Macaca fascicularis: one gene and its partner. The protein of the gene in region 2 purifies or fractionates together with the protein of the main gene of each other region. This does not show direct contact. Links are inferred from orthologs where the notes say so. Each region holds a gene or a part of one and is shown on either strand. Other genes may lie near its edges.

Evidence for each region.
Region 1: the proteins of SAP130 (region 2) and SUDS3 purify together in Homo sapiens (affinity purification with western blotting; 3 studies listed by BioGRID, with this or other methods). This does not show direct contact. The link is inferred for Macaca fascicularis from reciprocal best matches to the Homo sapiens genes SAP130 and SUDS3.

What each region holds. Positions count from the first base shown.
Region 1 is NC_088385.1:125,402,582-125,406,146, forward strand, and holds part of SUDS3 (sin3 histone deacetylase corepressor complex component SDS3), read left to right. Parts: intron 1-1,225; coding exon 1,226-1,331; intron 1,332-3,565.
Region 2 is NC_088386.1:3,499,510-3,503,660, reverse strand, and holds the start of SAP130 (histone deacetylase complex subunit SAP130), read right to left. Parts: upstream 2,865-4,151; 5' UTR 2,722-2,864; coding exon 2,650-2,721; intron 1,857-2,649; coding exon 1,739-1,856; intron 1-1,738. UniProt on the Homo sapiens protein: Acts as a transcriptional repressor. May function in the assembly and/or enzymatic activity of the mSin3A corepressor complex or in mediating interactions between the complex and other regulatory complexes.

The sequences.
Region 1 (3,565 bases), on a different chromosome or scaffold from region 2:
CCTCCATGATTTCTTTTTTTTTTTTTTCTAACCCCTGCTTTGTTATTTTTATTTTTTTCTTAGGGTTTATTGTAAAAGAGACATTTGATTGGCTGGTAAAGGTTTCCTTCTGTGTACGCATCAGGCATAAGATTTAAATACACATCCATTTCTGAAAATGAAACTAGGATTTTAAGTATTACTGGCTTTCTAAAGCCAAGTCCTAGGCAGTTCGGCTCCAGTGGCTTTTCATGGCCTGACTCTGGTAAGGCATTCGAAGGCTGCTCTGACTCGCAGTTCATAGAAGAGACCAACCGGCTCAGTATTCATAGTTGTTCCTTCCAGAACAGCACTTGAGATCATCAGTGCTAGTTGCCAACTAGAATGCTGAATTGGTGACATCTTTTTTTGTTTAAAGCACCATGATTACTCACACATCCCTCTACTTCCTGAGTCTTGTGGAAGAAAAACAAGAGTCTTCTTTTTCTGGATAATGTCTTCCTGGGGGCCTCTGTGGTCCACAGAGGTGTCCTGACCTTCTGAGGCATGCATGATGGGGAGGGGGTGAGGGAGTTGTGTGAGTGTGTAAATTTAGTAGTTCTTGAAATGATTCCTTTTTTGGATTATAGAGTCTCACTCTGTCGCCCGGCTGGAGTGCAGTGGCATGATCTCTGCTTACTGCAACTTCCGACTCCCAGGTTCAAGTGATTTTCCTGCCTCAGCCTCCCGAGTAGCTGGGACTACAGGCGCGTGCCACCATGCCTGGCCGACTTTTTGTATTTTAGTTTCACCATGTTGGCCAGGATGGTCTCATCTGTTGACCTCGTGGTCCACCTGCCTCGGCCTCCCAAAGTGCTGGGATTATAGGCGTGCGCCACTGCACCCTGCTAAAAATGATTGCATTTTAAAGAGATTTTCATAATACTTGCCCTTTGATCACCAGGGCTTTAGTCCTACTGTAAGTGACCTTATATGTTTGCACATTTGACCTTAATCTTTCTGAAGCCCAGGTGTCTCTTCCATTTGATGAGGTTAATCTGTGCCTTGCCTACTTCCCAGGGTTGCTTTGATTATCAAGTTTAGATGGAATATACAAGAATTTTGCTGAATTCCCATGCATTATTACTGTAAGGGCTCAATGATGATTATTACCACATTCTGATAGTGTTTCAATTAAAGCATGTTAACTGGTAGACTCGCATGTGTTGGTTGCATTCTTAGTCATGTAAGTGTTGGTTTCCTCCAGCATCTCCATCGTCTCCTGAGCACTTGCCTGCGACACCCGCGGAATCTCCAGCCCAGAGGTTTGAAGCTCGGATAGAAGACGGCAAACTGTACTATGACAAAAGATGGTATGTTATGGGAAAACCTGGACTACTTGTAAAAGTCTCATACCAACCACTTGGAAAGAGGGCTTGGGGCTATTGTAGTTATTTCAGAGCATGGCTGCTGTTAAACTTACATAGTACTAAAAGTAGAAACCCATTAAAAAATGTATTAGCAGTCATTTAACCAATACTTCCAGTAGATCTTTGAAAGCAGTGTTTCCCAAAACCATGTTCTGCTCCCCTTCCTTCTCCATTCCGCTGTCTCTGTACTAGAATTTGCAGGCTGCTATCTTGTATGGTGCCCCTGCCAACTGGGGCTGGGGTGTATGTCCCCCTGTGACCCCTCTTAACTCTGCCCCTGTGTGCTAAAGTTAGTAGGTGCTCTTCGGATTAAAGGATTTTGTGGTCATATTAGTTTGGGGGATGATCATGTTAATTAAGATAAGTGGGTTTCTCCCTTGTAGCACCCTTTGGGTCCTGTGATATGCTAATGTACACTGTGAATTTCTAAGATGTTATTAGTTGTGTTTTGATGTCACATACCCTTTTTTCTTACATGATCCTGCTGCAGAAGTGGTCAAGGATACTTGCTTGGGGGAGCTGTATCCTAAAACATTCCTAGTTTGTTTTTTGTTTTTTGAGACGGAGTCTTGCTCTGTCACCAGACTGGAGTGCAGTGGTGTGATCTCAGCTCACTGCAACCTCCGCCTTCCCTGTTCAAGCGATTCTCCTGCCTCAACCTCCCGAGTAGCTGGAATTGCAGGCACCCGCCACCATGCCCAGCTAATTTTTGTATTTTTAGTAGAGACAAGGTTTCACCGTGTTGGCCGGGTTGGTCTCGAACTCCTGACCTCACATGATCTGATTGCCTCGGCTTCCCAAAGTGCTGGGATTACAGGCGTAAGCCACCATGTCCTGCTGCATTCCTAGTTTACACTGAAGACTCTTTGAAACCTTCAGACCACCTAGCATTTTTCATTGGAAAGGTAATGGCAAAACAGTATGGAAGAACCTTAAAAGCTCATACTTTTGTTCATTCAACAAACATTTCTTCTGTATTAACACTTTCTGCTGGGTATGAAATGGATACTGCCATCATTTCTCAGGTCTTTTCATTCTGATATATTTCTTTTTATTCTTTGTCCATATGCAGGCATACTCTCTATTCGTTTTAAGTCATAATGGACATATGGTTGGCTTTGCCTTTCCGTTTGGTTATATTGAGAATGTTTTTCTGGGTTACTATAAGGTGTCTGTAATTATCATTTATAATGGCTATATAATGACCCTTTGAGTTTCAGTATCTAACCAAAAGTTCCAAAATTGGGGTAATGGTTATTTATTTTGAATTCTTAAAAAAAACCAGCATTGTGTTAGATTGGTTACTTGATAACATTGTACTTGTCAGAAATGCTTAGGGTTCTTGTCATGCCTGAAATAAATCATTTCCACCTACTAAGTTGCAGTGAGTTAATTACCCAGTAGATGCTGGAGGCTCACTTTATCACTAAGGCTGGTCTTGATGACTTCTTCCCCTCTGATTTGGTTTTCTTTGGCCTTCTTCAGGAAGGTCGGTTTGTGTTGTAACATTATGTCTCAGAACACATCGCCACTAGGTGGCAGGTTCTAACAGCTTAACACCGAGAAGGGCAAAATGAGATGAAAAATGTTTCTAATAATGAAAACCAAATAACCTTTAAAGATCAAGCCCACACATAAGAACCATCCTTGAAAATGATGAGATTTATCAGTAACATTTTTACGGATCTATGAGTCTTAAAGCCATGTGATATTTCCAGTCATATTCATTTTGTTAATTGTGTTGCTTTGAATCTTCCTCTTTCTAAGCTTAATCCTCAGACTTGATGAGACATGTCTTGAGGGTGAAAATGCAGTAAAATAAAATTCTTGTTTTTTTAAAAAAAGGATCCACAGTGTCTGGTGTTTCCTAATGTAAACAAAATGGTCAGATTTGATGTGTTAGAACTCCTAAGCATTTTGAAGGAATTTTCACCATCTTTCTTACATCAGCAGCAGAAATGTAGAAAATAATGTCACTGGATGCATTTTACCTCTTCAGTGAAATTGAAATTGCTTATTCTCTTGTTAAATATACTGTGAAAATGTTGTTTTCTTCTCTATTCCGTATACTTTTAATTTTTGGCCTTGGCAGTCAGAGATCATAATGCAGTTGTTGAAGGTGGGTCTTTCTCTTCTCCAGTGACAATTGAAGAGTGTTCCTGGGAATACTGGCTGAG
Region 2 (4,151 bases):
CCCAGCTACTCAGAGGCTGAGGCACAAGAATCGCTAAAACCCAGGAGGCAGAGACCGAAGGGACCTGAGATAGAGCCAGTGCACTCTAACCTGGGCCAAAGAGTGACACTCTGTCTCAAAAAAATAAAATAAAACAAAATAAAGTAAAATAAAATAAAATAAGCTGGGGAGCTCAAAAGATCGAGGCTGCAGTGGGCTGTGATTAGGCCACTGTACTCCCGCTTGAATGACAGCATGAGATGCTGTTGCAAAAAAATAAGCCTCAGCTACTGGTTTAAGCAATGAGTAGACAGTGGTATCATTTACCATAAGGAACACCAGAATCGAGTGGTGAAGAAAAAGGAATAGAAAATAGTTTATTCATGGCCGGGCGCGGTGGCTCAAGCCTGTAATCCCAGCACTTTGGGAGGCCGAGGCGGGTGGATCACGAGGTCAGGAGATCGAGACTATCCTGGCTAACATGGTGAAACCCCGTCTCTACTAAAAATACAAAAAACTAGCCGGGCGTGGTGGCGGGCGCCTGTAGGCTCAGCTATTTGGGAGGCTGAGGCGGGAGAATGGCGTGAACCCGGGAGGCGGAGCTTGCAGTGAGCCGAGATCACGCCACTGCACTCCAGCCTGGGAGACACAGCGAGACTCCGTCTCAAAAAAAAAAAAAAAAAAAAAAAGAAAATAGTTTATTCCACTTTGCAATGTCACATATTTACTTAATACGTAGCGAAAAAGAGTATTTGAAGGAATTCCTCAACTTCAGCGCTGCTGACTAGACTGGATACTTCTCTGTTGTGGGGGCTTCCCGTTATCTTGTAGGATGTGAAGCAGTATCCCTGGCCTCTACCTACCAGATGCCAATAGCACTGTTGAGTTGTGACAACCAAACTGTCTTTAGATATTGCCAAGTATTCCCCTGCAGGAAAAACCACCTCCCCAAACACCTGTCACTGAGAACCACTGATTTCTAGCACTCAAAGGGCATGAGACGAAAAACCAAGTCTTATCTGTGTGTATGCAATCAGCCCTCTGTATCCATGGGTTCCCTGATGTGAATTCAAACAACTTTGGATGTTAAATATTCAGGGGGAAAAATAAAATATGGTTGCATCTGTACTAAGCACATACAGACTTTTTTGTCTTCTCACTGTTCTCTTAGCAATACGGAATAACAACTATTTACATACTATTTACTTTGTAGTAGGCATTACAAGTAATCTACAGCTGATTTAAAGTATACTGGAGGATAGATACAGGTAATATGTAAACACTATACCATTTTACATCACAAAGTGGAGCAACATGGATTTTGGTATCTGAGGTGGGTCCTGGAACCAATCCCCCACAGACACCATAGGGAAACTGCATATCCTTTGTTTTCCACTTATTTTCCTTGATAATAAACTCCTAAAAGGCAAGATCTGTTCCTTAAACAACTCTGGGCTCCCTCACAGCACTAATGCTATACTCATGGACATTAATTAAACATGAATATATTAATGCATTTCAAAAATAGTTCTTACAGGCATGCTTCGCTGTAAGTTGCATGTGTACTCTATGTGAACGACGTGGTTAAAACAGGAAGAAAAAAAGCCTTGTTTAAATTAGAATAGTAATATACCCTTTCTTCAAATTCAAGAAATAAGAATTTACTAAAATCCTAGAAGGAATCTGCTAATTTTTAAGTTAGAAAACTGGCAATATTCGTAAAGTTGGAAGAAATATATTAGAATATTACATATCTCACCTGTAGCAGCTGGGTTTATCAATCCAGCAGTACCACTGTTTGCAATCTGAGAAGGGGCCTGGCTCAGCCCAGTAGAAGGGGCTCCTAATCGAGGAAACTGTTGAGAACTCATTTCCACCTGCAGTACATACAGTTATATGGTTATTACTAGATTCTGAGATCTGAATCAATATTGAGAAATTAAAGCATCTTTAGTACCTATGAGATAGTCCCTCGGAAAAGCAAATGTTGCATCATCTATTTAAAAACAATAACGTAGGATCAATATAAATGCAGACATTATCTAAACTACCTAAGTTTTCTACCAATATCGTTTATACGGAGCTGGCGTGTACTATAACCCTCCATAAATACTTGTGGATTGCCATGCTAAAAAAATCACCATTGAATCCTGTACAAGAGTCACATGACAGGTATTACCACAATGCATGTGTATTTCTCTGTGTAAAGTTTTATGGAAAATGGCATGTCTCTTCGAAACACTCAAACCTCACACCAAGGTGAACAGAACTGTGATTAGCATGTCATAGGAACATTCGGAGGAAGATACCCAGCCCTAAGAAAGGATCGGATGTTTTACATTCAGACCTGATGCAAAAGGAATTCTCCAACGCTTTTCTGCAAAGGCTTCCATTTACGGATTTCCTTTTCTTTCCCTTTCATAGACCCCCACAGAGCAAGAGGACCCTACACCTTCTCCATCTTCCCTAAAATCGTCCCCCACTTTTCCCCCAGGAGCCAAGCGATCTCCCCTGATTCGCCCGCAACCCCACCCCACCGCGAAGCCCCCGCTGAGATGGGAGGACGCCGATTTCCAGACACCTCGGAGTGCGAGATCCCCGTCTCCGGGGTAGGGGTGCGGACGGGCGTTCTGGGGACCCGACCACAAGGCGAGCACTGTGCCTCTTTACCTGTAGCCGCCGCCCGCCGCCCGCACCGCCCGCTTCTAGCTCGCCGGCCTGGGGGTGCCGCGGAGGGCCCATCTCGGCGGCGGCGATGCGCTCGGGGGGCGCGGGGAGGGATCGCGGCGGCGGCGCCCGGGGCCCGCCGCTGTCCAGCCCCGCTGGCCCCACTCACCCCCAACACCCGGCCGCCGCTGTGCTCGCAGTCCTCTTCCCCCGAACCTGCCCCTGCCTCCCCCGCCCGCCCATTGGCCCCACGCCCGGCGCGTCAGTGGAGGCCCAGGACCAATCCACAGCGACCTACACGGTCAGGACCCGCCCCACCCTCCCGCCGACCGCCAGCCAATCAGGCGCGAGCCTGGCCGGGGCAGCCCAAACCCCTCGAGGCTGAACCAATGGCAGAGGAAGACAGGCGCCCCCGGCGAGGGGGGCGGGGAGCGGGGAGGCCCCGCCTTGGCCAGGGTCTGAAAGCGGCGGGCGCAGGGCCCGGATGTGGAGAGTCACTTTAAACTGCTCCAGGAGCCAAACTCCCTGGGCCGCCCGCCCGCCCGCGCTCCCCCGACCGCTCTGCTTCCCCGCCAAGGCCCACGTCCGCCACGCCCCCACGCCCGGGTCAGCCCACCCCTCCCGGTGCCTCTCCCTTCCTCGCCACAGGACACCCAGCCCCTGTCGCCGGCCCAACTGCCGTGCCCAGCTCGCCAAAGAGCCGCGGTCCGAGCTGCAGGAGACGAGGATCCTCTGCCCTTCCCCGGGGACGCGCAACGGGACGGACGCTGCAGCCCGGCTCGGCCGCCCCGCCCCCTCGTCTCCTCCCCTTCCCTCCCGGGCTCCCGTCCCGCCATTACCTGGGTGCTGCGCCGAGTGGCCGCCGCGCCGCCTTGAGCTCGCTCCCGCGCGCTCTCTGTCTGCGGGGCCGACGTCCCCAGGTTCCCGACCCGCAGCCACCGCCGGGGAGCTAGCACTCTGCCCCCCACCCCTCACTCCAGCGCCGCTGCTTCCGCCGCCGTAACGAGCCTCCCGTCTATTGGCTGGCGCAGGCCCCGCCCCCTGCCGAGTCAGCCAGTCGCCGGTGGTCGTGAGCGGGAGAGCGGACGGGCCCGCCCCTCGGAGCCGCGGCGTCCTCTGGGAAATGTAGTCGCGGGCGCCAAGAGGGCGGGCCGCGAAGGAGGTGGAGAGCGCCGGGGCGGGGCCGCAGGCGACCCGGCCAGGGCAACACACCCCTTTGCTGTCTGAAGTCGGTTCTGTCTTTTCTCTTGGCTAAGTGAGAAGACAGTGGATCCCACCCTGTGTCTCAACCTGAGGGCACTAGGTTTCATTTTCCCCGCGGGGAGGCGCGGCGCGGGAAAGGGTAATGGAGGCCAACTGCGGCGGCCAAGGGATCCGCGGGCCGGACCAGTGTCGTGACGGTGCCCGCCTCCCTACGCCGCGAGTGGGACTCGGTGTCCCCACCGGGGACCGCGGTCGGCACAGCCTACGCGCGGCGGGAGCCCCAGGCGCGGCGCGGGCGCGGC